4 linked regions of the Callithrix jacchus genome follow. The protein of the gene in region 2 interacts with the protein of the main gene of each other region in a biochemical or structural test. Links are inferred from orthologs where the notes say so. Each region holds a gene or a part of one and is shown on either strand. Other genes may lie near its edges.

The links.
Region 1: the proteins of JAG1 (region 2) and CD46 form a complex in vitro, tested with the Homo sapiens proteins (2 studies listed by IntAct, with this or other methods). The link is inferred for Callithrix jacchus from reciprocal best matches to the Homo sapiens genes JAG1 and CD46.
Region 3: the proteins of JAG1 (region 2) and NOTCH1 form a complex in vitro, tested with the Homo sapiens proteins (3 studies listed by BioGRID and IntAct, with this or other methods). The link is inferred for Callithrix jacchus from reciprocal best matches to the Homo sapiens genes JAG1 and NOTCH1.
Region 4: the proteins of JAG1 (region 2) and NOTCH2 form a complex in vitro, tested with the Homo sapiens proteins (2 studies listed by BioGRID). The link is inferred for Callithrix jacchus from reciprocal best matches to the Homo sapiens genes JAG1 and NOTCH2.

Annotation. Positions count from the first base shown.
Region 1 is NC_133520.1:35,123,980-35,128,395, forward strand, and holds the start of CD46 (membrane cofactor protein), read left to right. Parts: upstream 1-1,434; 5' UTR 1,435-1,512; coding exon 1,513-1,756; intron 1,757-4,416. UniProt on the Homo sapiens protein: Acts as a cofactor for complement factor I, a serine protease which protects autologous cells against complement-mediated injury by cleaving C3b and C4b deposited on host tissue.
Region 2 is NC_133506.1:17,765,894-17,769,698, reverse strand, and holds part of JAG1 (protein jagged-1), read left to right. Parts: intron 1-952; coding exon 953-1,083; intron 1,084-1,639; coding exon 1,640-1,759; intron 1,760-2,190; coding exon 2,191-2,304; intron 2,305-3,518; coding exon 3,519-3,632; intron 3,633-3,805. UniProt on the Homo sapiens protein: Ligand for multiple Notch receptors and involved in the mediation of Notch signaling. May be involved in cell-fate decisions during hematopoiesis. Seems to be involved in early and late stages of mammalian cardiovascular development.
Region 3 is NC_133502.1:184,966,707-184,969,545, reverse strand, and holds part of NOTCH1 (neurogenic locus notch homolog protein 1), read left to right. Parts: coding exon 1-55; intron 56-148; coding exon 149-246; intron 247-1,581; coding exon 1,582-2,839. UniProt on the Homo sapiens protein: Functions as a receptor for membrane-bound ligands Jagged-1 (JAG1), Jagged-2 (JAG2) and Delta-1 (DLL1) to regulate cell-fate determination.
Region 4 is NC_133508.1:158,272,009-158,276,389, reverse strand, and holds the start of NOTCH2 (neurogenic locus notch homolog protein 2), read left to right. Parts: upstream 1-1,396; 5' UTR 1,397-1,613; coding exon 1,614-1,686; intron 1,687-4,381. UniProt on the Homo sapiens protein: Functions as a receptor for membrane-bound ligands Jagged-1 (JAG1), Jagged-2 (JAG2) and Delta-1 (DLL1) to regulate cell-fate determination.

The sequences.
Region 1 (4,416 bases), on a different chromosome or scaffold from region 2:
TCCTGAGACTGTTTCACAAAAAAAGAAAGTTCTCCCTCTTATCCACTTAACCTAACAATTTCTGCCCATCCCAATCCTCCTGCATTTATTGCTTCCAAGAATTTGGCACTTAGGACACCCTTGTCCTTACATTGTTCATGCATGTATATTTCATCTTCAAAAAACATTTAGTCGCTCAAGGGCAAGGGCCCCAGAGTCCCAATATGCTAAGGGCCTGATGTCGCTTAATAATTTAGATTCCAGCGGGGCTACTCTCCAGGGAGGAGAGCAAAGAGCAAATTACCTTACGGGCTGGGAGTGCAGGAGCCAAACCTTTGAGACTGAAAACAAGAAGGCCAGAGACGATTCAGCAGCAGGCATCCAAGCAAGAAAAACTCAAATACTGCTCCTAATAATGTCTAATGGCAAATACCGTGTAAGGGCCCAGGCAGTCCGGACAGCCTGCAGTGCCCCAGGATAAAACTAACCCTGAGGGCTGATGGCCCAGAGTGACGCCCGTCCTGGCCTCTGGATCTCTATTTTTAGGTCGAAGGGCTTTATTCTTGAATCCCGAGTTCCCGGAGACAGTCCTACGGCAGCTTAGTTTTCTTTCTACCCTTCCAGGGTCACAAACTTGGCGGTGACCCAGCCCTTTCTCGCAGGCCGCCTCAGGTTTCCAGAACTGTGGCCCTACGGTTTAGCAAGAAAAGAGGCGAGGCCCGGGGAGCCTGCAGGGTTAGGCCCTGCCAAGGCCACGCCCTATCTCCAGGAGGCCAACGGGCTGTCCCTGAGCGCCAAGGCCCCGCCCAGCGGTCCGCCGATTGGCCCCACCGCCCCGGGGCCTCTACTCACTTCCGCCTCGGGCGCGGCTCAGGCCACGCCCACCCGCTGTGAGGCTGTGGGCACTTTGTGAGTTTGGGGATTGTTGCGTCCCGTAAGCGGACTCACAAGGGACTTCCCTGCTCAGCTGGCTCCCGGTTTCTCTGCTTACCTCCGGATAAATGACGGCTTCTTCCGCGACGCGCATGGCGCCTCCCAGCCGCCGCGAGTGTCCCTCTCCTTCCTGGCGTTTTCCTGGGTTGCTTCTGGCGGCCCTGGTGTTGCTGCGGTCCTCCTGCTCTGGTAGGATCCCGGGGCGGGTTCGCGCGTCAGCGGTGAAGCTAGAACTCTGCTGGATCAGCTGGGCAGGAGGCGCGGGGCGGGACTGACCGTTTGTCCTGCCGGCTTGGGGTAGAGGGCGAGGCCAGGGTTCTCCGAGGAGCGCAGTGCGCAGATCCCTGGGGTGTGTGGCGGAGGATGCGGGGACCACTTAGAGCCCGAGGTGAAGCTTGTTTGCTGGAGTGATGTGCGCGGCCCGAATTTACGTAGGGTCTGGCTGCGCCCCCAACAAAAGCCTGCACCTTGTTTTCGGGATTGAGTCCAGTCGGCAAGTGGAGCGCGCACTGGGTGCCCCTGGTAAGGGCTTGCTTTGGAGTGCACGGGTGCGTGGGAGTGTTGCTAGGGCCCGTGCTGTGCCGCCGGTGAGAGTTTAACATGTGTTCCCTGGGCGGGGCGGTTGGTGCCTTGGTGAGCCGGGTGTTCCTTAGCACTTCGGCAGTATCTGCGAAAAGTGCTGCGGCGCGTCCGTCCGCTGTGCCCCATGGGCTGGGCTGGCATGGGCTGTGCTGGGCGATCAGGGGCCTGGCCTGGTGTTGTTGGGAGCGTGCTGTGTTGTGTGCAAGTGGCCTGCCCTTCAGAGTTCACGGTGGACAAGACAGCTCACTGTTTGCTTTGAATGGTGTGAGCGTGGACTCTGGGGCTAGGGGGGTTATGTTGGGTGAGAACAGGTTCTCAGTGCCTGGGGTTAGAGATGCTGGTAAGGGCACGCCACGCGTTTTGTGCCTTCTGTGAACAGTCTCCGTGTTGCCTGAGATCCTATTGGTCTTGATTTTTAACTAGCTGGTTTTTTGGGACTTGGGTGGGTCATGGAGTCATCTTCCTGTTCCCAACCAATGTAGACACTCTCTGATTCCATTACCTAATGGCTTTTTGACATAATTTTCCTTCTTTTCATTGTTTGAGTCATATTTGAGAGATGTGAAGAAACCTAAAAAACACTGGTAACCAAACCTATTGAGAAATTAGTATCCTAACAAAGGAAAGGAAATTATGTTAATCTGTTTTCCCTGCAACTCATAAACTAAAGCTGAAGCCCATCCCACTAAATTTGTTTTGTATTTCATTGAATGGAATAATACTATTAAAAATGCATACTAGGCCAGGTGCAGTGGCTCATGCCTGTGATCCCAGCACTTTGGGAGGCCCAAGTGGGGTGATTGCTTGAGCCCAGGAGTTGGGCAAGCAAAACCCCATGCAAACCCCATATCTACAAAAAATACAAAAATTAGATGGGCATGGTGGTGTATGCCTGTGGTCCCAGCTACTCTGGAGGCTGAGGTGAGAGGATCGCTTGTGCTTGGGAAGTGAAGACTGCAGTGAGCTGTGATCATGCCACTGTGCTCCAGCCTGGGTGACAGAGTGAGACCCTATCTAGAAAAAAAAAAAAAAAGCTAAGAAATACATGCTTATTAAACAAAACGAACAGAATCACAGGACAACTATTTTTAATATTTTGGACTATTTCCATCTGACTTTATATGCGCTTCAGGTGTATCTATGTCCAAACTTATATTTAGGATCCTATTACGTGTACAGGTTGTACGTTACGTTTCTTTCCTTAGGAACATTCATTCAACGAATGTCGGCCTAGAATGTGTGGTGCTATTACACTGGTAGGCAATCCCAAACGTTCCTATTTTCTTGATCCTTTTTTTCGCCATTTGTTTACACACATGTACATGCAGGAAGATAAGCAGGGGCTTTGTTTTGTGCACTGCTGCAAGCTCAGTGCTGGGAACACAGTAAACAATAACTATTCGCTAAAATGTATTGGGAGTGGCAGACATTAACTAAACGTAATAGTAACAAATATATTATGAACCAAGGGAAGTGCTCTGGAGAAAAGGAGTATAATTTTCTGACAGCATTTAACAAATGGACTGGAGGCAGGGAAGGCTTTTCTGCTCATCAAAGAGACAAAACTCTGCCTCTTTGGGGCATCTGTGCTTGCTGTTCTCAGCCCTGGAACATTCTCCTGAACTGCTGCATAAACGGGCTCTTTTCTTCTGCAAACTCGGCTGGTATGTTATCCCCTCAGAGACCTTCTCTGACCGCCCCCCGTTTCAGGTTGGAGACATACAACCCAGTTCAAGTCCCTCTTCACTTGTAATCACGCTTTAAAAATGACCTTTTCTATTCTTTGTCTCTCCCCATCAGAATGCAGGGATCTTATCTGTCTTGTCACATTTGTGGTTCCAAAAGCCCAATTTGTTTGCCTCCATATCAATACTGACTCAGTATCCATATAGACATCTGTTAAATACCAGAAAATTAAATATACTATTTGGCTGGGGCTTAGAGCCTAGGAAAAAGTTCCTCCTGCCTCCAGGAAGAAGGTTGTTTAAAGAGCTATGCTCAGGGTGGTTTTTCTGTGGTACCTAAAAAGCCAGGGCAGGGGCAGCTGAGGGCCCGAAAGGATCTTCCTCCCCTGTTCATGTTGACTGTAGGGTTTCCAGTACTTAAGTCTGGCATTTCAGTGATTATTAAAACGTTCATTTTGAAGGAGGGTGATGGGAGGAGGGAGCAGTGGTGATAAGAAGAAAACGAAAGGCCTTTTATTTTCTTTTAAGATTAATGTTTAGAATAGACTTAGTACTAGAAGTTCAGGCTGGGCAACATAAGGAGATCCCACCTTTACAAAAAATGAAAAAAAAAAAAAAAATTAGCCAGGTGTGGAGTTTGTTGCATGCCTGTAGTCCCAGCTACTTGAGAGGCTGAGTGAGAATCACTGGAGCCCCCACGGTCAAGGCTGCAGGTCAAGGCTGCAGTAAGCCCTGATTGTACCACTGCACTCTAGCCTGGGTGACAGAGTGAGACCCTGTTTCCAGAAAAAAACGAAAAGGAAAACACACACACACAAATAGGAAGTTGAAGAAGATAATGAAAGTGATTTGAAATAGAGGAACACAGAAAAATAAAATAGGGTGCAACATGGAAGATAACCTTGTTTTTCCTTCTCTTCATTCTTAGTTAAGTTTGAGGTTGATAAGGTTAAATCAACAACAAGTATGAAACCTAGAGAAAGTAAAAATGAGAACTCATGATGCCACGCAGGGAGAATACATGAACTAAAATAAACATTCAATTTTTGGAGCAACTCACTCTCACAAGGAGAAGGTTTTGTAAGCAGACAATGCTGCACATGGGAGACCTGCTCTCTCAAAGGTAGTTGCCAAAGGGTTCAAGACAGCAGAAGGAAACACATATCAAATTTCAGGCCAGTCTCATTCCTCCAGAAGAGAAGCCACTTTTTTGGACAAAACCCACAGTCTCCTGTTG
Region 2 (3,805 bases):
TTCTGGAGACATGTTGCCCATTCCACCTGCACCCCACCCTCCTCCAGGAGGCTAGTTGGTGTTTCTCCCTGCCTTTCCCCACCCTTGTTAAAGCTTGGCTCTTGAGAAGGCAGTTAAAGTTTCAGAGAGCTTGAAACTTGGAGGGTGGTTTGAGAAGCTGCCCTCCCTCCCACCCCAGGTGAAAGGTTTTGTTTTTGTTTGTGGATCAAAGGCACTATTTGGCCCCAAAAGAGTATGATTAATCAAGGTGCTTATATAAAAGAACCTCAACTCCCCTAATACTAGATAAATTAAGCAGACTTTTTTTTTTTTTTTTTTTTTTTTGGCAAAGCAAGAAATCACTATAAATTAGCACACAGTAATGGGACACAAATTATGGAGCTGGTTCCAAGTGTTGTCATTTCCTTCTCCTTCCCTATGGAAGTGGTTTTAGAGATGCTATCCTGGCCTTTGCCAAGGGAGGGTGCCCCTTTCTCTCTTTTTTTTTTTTAAATCATCATCATGAGGCAGGTTCCTGCTGCACTTGGTGGCTCGTTGCATTTCTGTGCTTTGGGGCCGTGACTTTCTGTGCAGACAGAGCAGAGCTGCAAGTGCAGTGTCTGCAGAGACGTTGGCAGAACTCTGTTGTCACCAGGAGAGTCCTTTGCTCTACGGTCTGTGTCTGTTGCAACTACGTGCGTGGGTTGTTTTATTCCCTGCCTTCACCCTTGGCTTACTCGAGTTGTCCTGAGAAGAGAGTGGCTTTGTGAAGGGTATCCCCAAACAGCCCTCCTTTTGTCAGGAGTCGGCTGGGAGGGGACCCCAGCCCAACTGTGAAAATGTTTGTTTGTATGGAGCCCCTGATGAGCCTTGGGAGTCTACCATCCTGTCCTCAGAAACATAACAGAAAAAGGCTGGACTTACTCTCTTAATGTACAAAAGGCTGAGCTGGAGGTATGCTGTGTGTCTCCAGGTGCCAGTATGGCTGGCAAGGCCTGTACTGTGATAAGTGCATCCCGCACCCAGGATGTGTCCACGGCATCTGTATCGAGCCCTGGCAGTGCCTCTGTGAGACCAACTGGGGCGGCCAGCTCTGTGACAAAGGTATGGCCCTTAGGGATGAAACCCAGGGTGGGATGCGGGCCTCAGGAGGGGTGTGGGTTCTGGGGTGGGATGGCAGTCATTTGGTTTTTAATTTTATTGGCAGGGGCTTTTATTCTGAATTCTCCTTAAATGCTGTGGGGATTTTCTGGTTTTCTTTTTAAAAGACGATGGGGCTGGCTGGATCGTGCCTATAATCTCAGCACTTTGGGAGGCCAGGGCGGGTGGATTACCAGGTCAGGAGATCGAGACCATCCTGGCTAATACGGTGAAACCCTATCTCTACTAAAAATATAAAAATTAGCCATGCGTGGTGGTGCGCACTTGTAGTCCCAGCTACTCGGGAGGCTGAGGCAAGAGAATCGCTTGAACCTGGGAAGGTAGTGTTTGCAATGAGCTGATATCGTGCCACTGCACACCAGCCTGGGCAACAGAGGGAGATTCTATCTCAAAAAAAAAAAAAAAAAAAAAAAAAAAAAAAAAAAAGATGGGGCTAGAAACATGGCGGGTTTGCCATCTTCACAGGCATCTCTTAGTGACATCAGGATCTTTTTGGCAGATCTCAATTATTGTGGAACCCATCAGCCGTGTCTCAACGGGGGAGCTTGTAGCAACACGGGCCCTGACAAATATCAGTGTTCCTGCCCTGAGGGATATTCAGGAGTCAGCTGTGAAATTGGTAAGTGGTCCAAGCTGAATGAGAGTCCTTTGTCTAATTTTTCTGTACTCAGCTTTTAAAAAAATATACTTAAGGACTTAGGAAAAAGCGAAAATAGTCTCCAAAGATAGGAATTATTCCAGCCATTCTATGGGCCTTTGTAACTTTCAAGTCCCTGAAGTTTTTTGGGTGATGTTGATTCACAAAGGAGGCAGCGGGGAGATGAAATGACCCCAACCCTGAGATGTGTTGAAATGTGGTTAGAGACAGCTCAGCAAGAAAGATGACTTCCTTTCTTTCCTAGACACAGCAGGGTTCTATCACATGCTTGCTTTTGGTTTTTGAAATATGCCTGCGCTATAGTGCCTGCGGCATGGGATCTGGTTGCAGGGGGAGTGGAGAGGTAGGGGTGCACAGGTATCCCTCGCTGATTGCCATCCTGGTTTTTGCAGCTGAGCACGCCTGCCTCTCTGATCCCTGCCACAACAGAGGCAGCTGTAAGGAGACCTCCCTGGGCTTTGAGTGTGAGTGTTCCCCAGGCTGGACCGGCCCCACGTGCTCTACAAGTAAGTCCAATTTTCAGCCTGTGTCCATTCTAAGGATCCTTGTGCCAAGATACCACGATGGGGAGAAGTACCTAGGCCTGTCCAGCGTGGATGTCTCAGTGGGAGAGGGGCGGCTGCAGGCAGAAGTCTGGCAAGCAGGCTGGTGGCTTGTGTGTTTGGAAGTCTCCCAGCACCCCCATCCTGTCCCACTAAGGTAGCGAATGTATCTGTTCTTGGAAGAAACGTCCTCATGGAATCGCTTGTTCCTTTGCATCTGCTTCCTGGAGCTGGCCACCTTCCAATTGTGGTTATTTTCCTTGCAGCCATGGAGAGGCTGCCTTCAGGGGAGGTTGTCACTCACTAATGAATTTTGTCATCGGGCCAGGGGGCCCTAAAAGAAGAACCTGGTCTGCAGAGTTCCTTTGGCTGTGAGATAGGGCTGTATGTCAGAATCACCTGGGGTGCTTAACGGTGTAGATCTCTGGGTCCCCCATATTCCCTCCACAATCGGGGAGTGCATGGTCTTTGATAAACTTCTGGAATTCTGCAGTGCAGCCAGGTCTGAGAACTGCTGTCATCAGCACCCCAGGTGTGGTTAGGGGTGTGGATTTCTGGGGTCAGATTGCCTGTGCTGGCCCAGGGCCCCCGCCCATCATTTGCGGAACTCCAGCAAGCCACGTAAGCTCCCTGGGCCCTCTTTAAATGGCACAGTAGCAACTCCCATCTCCGAGGGTTGTCATAAAGACACAAAAGTGAATACTTCATAAAGTGTTAGGAGGTCTCTCTGGTCAGAGCAGAAGTGGAGAATGCAGCCTCCAGGTGTGTTATTTTGGGCAAACTCTGTAAGCAAGTAAGAGGAATAAGGTTTTCCACCTGAACTATTTTTCCATACTTCTTAGCTGCTTCTGAGCCATGATGAAACTTTCCTTTGAAAACAAAGATTAGGCAGATAGAGATGTCCTGAGTTCCCATTGGGTGGACGCTCTGTCAGTATCCAGCTGTCTTTCTCCCCCACTGCTTAGGTTGGGGATTACATGAACTGGGGCAGTGGGGGATTTAAAGCTAAAATCAAGGCTTCGGCCTTATCACTGTCCCACTTGTCCTGCTGTAGCTTTTTTTGTAGCAGGTGTCTGGCTCTTCAACAACAGCCCCTCATATGAGAGGTGATGTTAAATGATCTAATTGTCAGGCAGATTGAATTAAGTTGTCAACCCCCTCCTTTTCTTGTTGACCAGACATTGATGACTGTTCTCCCAATAACTGTTCCCACGGGGGCACCTGCCAGGACCTGGTTAATGGATTTAAGTGTGTGTGCCCCCCACAGTGGACTGGCAAAACGTGCCAGTTAGGTAAGAAAATCCCTGTGACTGTAATTTTTATACAAGTTTGGCTTTGACAATCAAAGCCATCACAGAAGACGAGCGTGTGGCCGGCAGTGTGAGTTCACACTCCATCATGCTAAGAAGTAATTTATTATCAAGAGTCTAGCAGGCCTGGGAGAAATAACTTGAATGCAAATGGG
Region 3 (2,839 bases), on a different chromosome or scaffold from region 2:
ATGCTGGAGGACCTCATCAACTCGCACGCTGACGTCAACGCCGTAGATGACCTGGGTAAGCCCTCGGGGGCAGGCCTGCCACAGGGAGGGTCGGACCGGGCTCCTGCCCGCTGGTCTCCAACCCACCCCATCTGCTTCCTTCACGCAGGCAAGTCCGCCCTGCACTGGGCTGCCGCTGTGAACAATGTGGATGCCGCAGTGGTGCTCCTGAAGAATGGGGCCAACAAGGACATGCAGAACAACAAGGTGAGCGTGAGACCAGGGCGCAAAGGGGGACGAGAGAGGGGACTTGGGGGATGAGAGGTCTGAACCCACAGAGCTCAGGGAAGCGAGAGCCAAATCCAAGGGGCACAGGGAGGCGAGGGCCTGAGCCACAGGGTCTCGAGGACTCCTGGGCCCGAGAACAGGCTCCGCCTGCATGGTGCCGGCACCTCCTTAGTGCTCCCCGTCTCCTTCAGCCCCTGTTTACGGAGCCCTCCCAAGTGCATGTCCACTGTCAGGACATGGCAGTCACCCGGTAGACCCAGCCCTGTCCTGGGTTGCAGTCACAGTGTAGTCACAGCCTGGCGTGGGGAACAGTGGGCAGGGCGCACAGCCTGGCGTGGGGAATGGAGCCCCTATCACACTGTTCTGTCACTGTCACCTGGACCTCACCTTCTGTCCCCAGCTGTTACCAGGCAGGGGTGAGGATGGGAACGTGGTGACCCCGGTAGTGTAGATTCAGCCAGAACACACGTGGCAGCAGCTCCCTGCAGGGCAGGACCCTTGGGGTGAATGAGCAGCTCTTCCTCTGAGTGGAGCCGCCCCCAGCCCTCATCCTGGCCTTGCAGTTCTGGGCGAGTATCTGATCTGAGCAGCTGCTATTGGGCTCCTGGGCATTCAGGACACAGGTGCAGATGCCCCCACCTCCCTGCCACCCGAAGCCCCACCTCCGCGCCCAACTCCAGCTCCCCCCTTGGCATGCCAGGCTAAGCTGTCTCTCCCTCCTGGGCGAGGGCAAACGGCAGGCCAGGGCACCCAGGCATGTTGGCCCAGGTGCTCCCTGGTGCCACCACGGAGACTGGGCCCCACAGGGCACCGAGGGCTGAGAAGCCCCCTCCCACTCCCTCGAAGCAACCTCACCCAGACGTGTGGTGTCTCCACCACACTGAGGGGACCCTAGGAAGGGGCTTGGTGGCGGTCCAGATGACATGCTCCCTCCCTGGTGCCTTCATTGGTGCAGCAATTTCCTTCTGTGCCTTATTGGGGGCAGGGAAGAGGGGCTGCAGTTTGTTAGATTTTCAGTGGGGTCTATGACCCCCACATAAAGGTGGGGCCCTGCTGATCTAGGGTAGAGGACTGCACAAACCCCCTCTGGGTGGGTTTCAGAAATTGTATTGAAGCCTTCACATTTAACAAGAGTCAGGCCAGGTGGTTGCTGGACGCGGGGCCAGGGTCCCGAGGAATGTCCTGCACCACCCCTTCTCCCCCTCTTGTCTCCGAGGAGGAGGTTGTACTGCTGCTCCCTCTGGTGATGGAGCCTTGGGGAGAGTCCCCATGCCAGGCCTGGCTCCCCTCACCGGCCCCACCCTCGCCCCCCAGGAGGAGACGCCCCTGTTTCTGGCTGCCCGGGAAGGCAGCTATGAGACCGCCAAGGTGCTGCTGGACCACTTTGCCAACCGAGACATCACAGACCACATGGACCGCCTGCCACGGGACATCGCGCAGGAGCGCATGCACCATGACATTGTGAGACTGCTGGACGAGTACAACCTGGTGCGCAGCCCGCAGCTACACGGAGCCCCGCTGGGGGGCACTCCCACCCTGTCGCCCCCGCTCTGCTCGCCCAATGGCTACCTGGGCAGCCTCAAGCCTGGCGTGCAGGGCAAGAAGGTCCGCAAGCCCAGCAGCAAAGGCCTGGCCTGCAGCGGCAAAGAGACCAAGGACCTCAAGGTGCGGAGGAAGAAGTCCCAGGACGGCAAGGGCTGCCTGCTGGACAACTCCGGCATGCTCTCACCTGTGGACTCCCTGGAGTCACCCCACGGCTACCTGTCAGATGTGGCCTCACCGCCACTGCTGCCCTCCCCATTCCAGCAGTCTCCATCCATGCCCCTCACCCACCTCCCCGGCATGCCTGACACCCACCTGGGCATCGGGCACCTGAACGTGGCAGCCAAGCCCGAGATAGCGGCGCTGGGCGGGGGTGGCCAGCTGGCCTTCGAAGCCGGCCCCCCACGTCTCTCCCACCTGCCTGTGGCCTCCGGCACCAGCACCGTGCTGGGCTCCAGCAGCGGAGGGGCCGTGAATTTCACTGTGGGCGGGTCCACCGGTTTGAATGGTCAGTGTGAGTGGCTGTCCCGGCTGCAGAGCCGCTTGGTGCCGAGCCAGTACAACCCGCTGCGGGGGGGCGTGGTCCCAGGCCCCCTGAGCTCGCAGGCCCCCTCTCTGCAGCACAGCATGGTGGGCCCTCTGCACAGCGGCCTTGCTGCCAGCACCGTGCCCCAGATGATGAGCTACCAGGGCCTGCCCAGCACCCGGCTGGCCACCCAGCCTCACCTGGTGCAGACCCAGCAGGTGCAGCCCCAGAACTTACAGATGCAGCCACAGAACCTGCAGCCACCAAACATCCAGCAACAGCAAAGCCTGCAGCCACCGCTGCCACCACAGCCACACCTCAGCGTGAGCTCCTCGGCCAGCGGCCACCTGGGGCGGAGCTTCCTGAGTGGAGAGCCGAGCCAGGCGGACGTGCAGCCACTGGGCCCCAGCAGCCTGGCCCCGCACACCATCCTGCCCCAGGAGAGCCCCGCCCTGCCCACGTCGCTGCCGTCCTCGCTGGTCCCACCTGTGACTGCGGCCCAGT
Region 4 (4,381 bases), on a different chromosome or scaffold from region 2:
TCACCTGCCCTGGAATTAACTACCATAGTCTCTTAATATCTGTATCTATATATACCCATCCACAGAAAATGTGTAGTATTGTTTTGAAAAAATACATAAATGGTATACTTTGTCTCCCTCTGCAATGAGTTTTTACACTATCATTTAGTTTTTAGGATTTATCCCTACTGACATACATGAGCACAGTCTTTTCAGTTACTGTGTTGCATTTCATTTTATAAGTATACGTTATTCATCCATTCCTCTGAGGGTGGGCATTTACGTCGTTTTCAAGGTTTTGTTATTACAGCGTTAAAATGAGTATGTTTAGCTTAGGCGGTCTCCTCGTCGTATAGAAATTTTACTGACCCCTCAAGATCCTGCCTTCATCTCCGCTGCTCTGTGAAAGCCTTCCCTGAACCCCGCAGCCCACAGCAGCAAAGTCTTGGTCCTCAAAATCGCTTGTGCATCTTTGGTGTCATTCCGCTGTGCCAGGCACACAGCTCTGCAGAGCAAGGCACTTAAGAAATACTTGCTACACGGGAGAACGAATGAATGAATGAGTAGAGCAGCACCACTCGGTGACGGTTCTATCCCCTTTTAATGGACTTTGGCGCCTTGGCCCCCTTTCCTTCTTTGACAGCGCTGGTCCTACGCCAGCGCATTCCTCTAGCTAGCAGTGTGTGGACGTGTGGGTGTGGGGGCGACACAGGACTCACTGGCCGCGGGCCGCCTCTCCCTTCAAGTTCACGGTCCCGGCAAACGCCAGGGCTTGAAGTTCCGAGTTCTACCCCACCCCCCTCGGCCCCCACGCCCCCCCCACACCCCCCACGCTCCCCCACACCCCCCACGCTCCGCACGCTCCCCACGCTCCCAGGCTCCCCCACGCCCCCACGCCCCCCACGCTCCCACCCTCCCCCACGCTCCCCACGCCCCCACGCTCCTAGGCTCCCCCACGCCCCCCCACGCTCCCCACGCCCCCCCCACGCTCCCACGCTCCCCACGCCCCCACACGCCCCCACCCTCCCACGCCCCCACGCCCCCCCACCCCCCACGGTCCCCCACGCTCCCCACACCCCCCCACGCCCCCACGGTCCCCCACGCCCCCCCACGCTCCCCCACGCCCCCTCGGCCCCCAAGCTCCCTCCGCCTGCCGAAGCGCGGCAGCGCCGACCGAGTTAAGGCGCGGCGGCCCCCGGGGCTTCTGGAGAAAGATGCGGCCGGCGACGGGGACTTGTAGTAGATCCCTCCGCGCGGAGCTCGGGCCGGCGCTTCTTCCTGCGGGAAACCCCTGGGTGCCCAAGGCGGCGGGGCCGGGTCCGCGGCGACAGGGGGGCGGGGCTTGCGGTGGGAGGAGGCGGCCGAGGCGGAAGGACACACGAGGCTGCTTCTCCGCACACCCGAGAAAGTTTCAGCCAAACTTCGGGCGGCGGCTGAGGCGGCGGCCGAGCAGCGGCGGGCCCCGGGCGGGGGGAGTCCGGGCATTTGCGCCGGGGCTTCGGAGCGCAGCGCCAGGGCCCGAGCCTCTGAAGCGGGAGGAGGGGAGGAGAGAGTGGGGCTCCCCTGTCGGGACCCCCTCCCCATGTGGATCTGCCCAGGCGGCGGCGGCGGCGGCGGAGGAGGCGACCGAGAAGATGCCCGCCCTGCGCCCCGCGCCGCTGTGGGCGCTGCTGGCTCTCGGGCTGTGGTGCGCGGCCCCCGCGCGTGGTGAGTATCGGGCTGCGGGGCGCTGTCTGCGGCGCCCGGGGCCGCCACCTGGGGCGACCTTTTCCCCTCGGTCCTCCTCTGTGCGGGAAGGCCGGGCTCGGCCGCTCGCCGGGCGCCCGCGAGTTTGGACATCGCCGGGGGCCCCTCCCGTGGCGCCCCCGCCGCCTCCCGGGGTTCCCCGCCGCCTTCTGCTCCCCGCGGCTCGGGACGCCTCGCACGCCTTGGCCGGAGGGAGGCCGGCAGCGAGTCTCAGAAGCTCCTTTTTCCTGGCGCCAGGGCGCAGGGAGGTGGGCAGCTTTGCCCTTCGGGTTCCGCGTTTCCTGGGGTCGAGCGAGAGCCGACGGCGGGCCGCGGAGGGGCTGAGCGAAGGAATGCCAGATTCCGGCGTGGAGAGAGGGGGCTGGGCCGCCGAGCTCCACGGCCTGCACCTTCGCGGCCCGCCCGGGCTGTGCTCACGGGCCGGGTGTGAGGCTTGCTTTGGATGGGGACGGAGTTTGGGGCGCGCCTGACTTTTGACACTCCGACTCGACCGAAAGTCCGGAGGAGCCGGGTGTGCTGCTAGCGTCTTGGAAAGGTGGAGGCAGGAGAAGTAGGGCAACTGGTGTGGCTGCATGCTGAGGCACATGATTTAAAAATCTCAACTGCTGTTATTCTTTCCGAGGCGCGGAGCTCTGCTGCAGTTTCAGGCTGTGTCCAGACCCAGGAATGTGGTGTGACGATCACCAACTCCTCCAACCTGGCAGCAGGATTTGCTGCTCCTTTGGCATGGCTGGGGGTGGGGCACGGGCGGGTAAGGAAAAGTGGATACGTTAATTCAAAGGGCTTCCTTAGAAAGCCTCTTTATGGTTGGATATTTCTAACACGGTTGGAGCGAGGAAAGGGAATCGAGTCATATCTTCTCCATCCCACCCACACTTTTAGATTCTGGATTTCTTCAGACTCGTCGGGGGAAATAACTTGGACTTTGAAGGCCTGCTCTGTAATCCTGGATTCAAATCCAGCTCTGCTGTATGAACTCACCAATAAAATGGGAATGAAATTACGCAGTTAATAGGATTAATTACAATAATGTATGTTAAAGGGATGGCACTCTAAAGGCGTTTCAGGGCTGAGGCTGTGTTTTTTTCTTCCTGAAATTGATGCTTACAGTGGGATGGTGTCTTGTGCATGCTTGTTGAACAAAAAGGGAGCCCTTTCTTTTTCTGAGCCTAATCTGAACAAAGATTTTACCTTCACCAAAAACTGGTACATGAACTACATATTTTTTTTTTTCAATGAAAAGGTTAGGAAGATGATGAGCTTCAGAAAAATATGGTCTTTGTTCATTGTTAACAGGCTGTCGACATGTCAATCGCAGGTATTTAAAAAGAGAGCAAGGTTATTTATCACCTGAAAACAGTACTGAGTTGTTCAGCACCAACTAGATTCTTCTTGGAAAGTTCAAATTTCATTCACCTCTAGGTCACTAAGAATTTCAGAAGCGGACCAGAGACTTTGCAGTGATGAAGCAAAGCTGTTGTTTCTGAAACATTTAGTAACGAGCATATGACGGTGTTTTTGCTTTTCCTTTTTCTTTGAGTAAAAACTGTAAGTGTAGCTTTAGAAGACAGAGGAGTATAATCAATGGGACAGTCTCAGGACCACAATCCTTGGTCTGCCATTAACTTGTTTTGGTAAATAACTTAATCTTCATGATCCGTCGTCTCCTCACCTATGAAACTGGACTGAGAAAAATAGCCTGCTTTAGAGAATTGGAGGGAATAATAAATATGATTGTAAAGTGATTACGAAATTAAGTATTAAATAATCCGATGTCAGAAATAGGATTACTCTGACACACAGGGCTTCTTTTATTCTAGGATCTCAGTGCACAAAACGATGCCCTCCACCTCTGCCCTGCTGAGGTGCTGCGAGTATTAGGTGAGTTTTAGGTAGTCAAGTTGAGTGTTAGTGAAGTTGACTGAAGGGGTAGGATTTAGATATTTTGATTTTTAGGCAAGTATTCCTTAGATGCTAAACTACTGCCGTAGCAGAGGTTTCGAAGCCTGTTTCTTGGTACAAATCTTTAATCTTAGAGTCTAATGTGAAGGCTTCTTGAATCCTCCTAATTTATTACTGTGTTTTGCTAAGGTACCAATTACAGTGCACCCTTCCAAACTTTTGAGTGTTCCTGTGTTTGGCTTGTGGCCAATTGTTAATTTAAACATCACGGAATTTCTAAGGCAAGGAGCTGTCAGCCCGTATGTCCCATTGTCTACAGCTATCCAGGACCACCCCCTTGCTCCTTGTTTTCTTTTGCTTTGCAGTGGGAAGTGACTCCCTGATTTTGCTGCCTGCTAATTTCTCAGCTGAATTCTTCTCTTGCTTAAACAAAATCAGAGTAATTTTCTTTCGGATGGAGATGAAATTTACCCTAAAACTATTTTTCCTTTCACTTTTTTCTTGTTCTTTCTACATTATTATTCCTTTTTTTTTTTTGGTGTGGTGGCGGGGGGAGGAGATTGATTATTCCTTTCTCTCTTGTTTTTCTGAAAATTTAGATTAAAAAAAATTTACCCATTACTTCTTGGCATCTCTCTGCTCCATTCCCACTCCACTGCCTCTCCTGTAGGTTTCTGTGGCATAGAGGAGCAACTTTTGTTTCACCTGGATTGTAGTTGCTGACTTCAGGACCTTTAGAGAATGTTTAAATTCA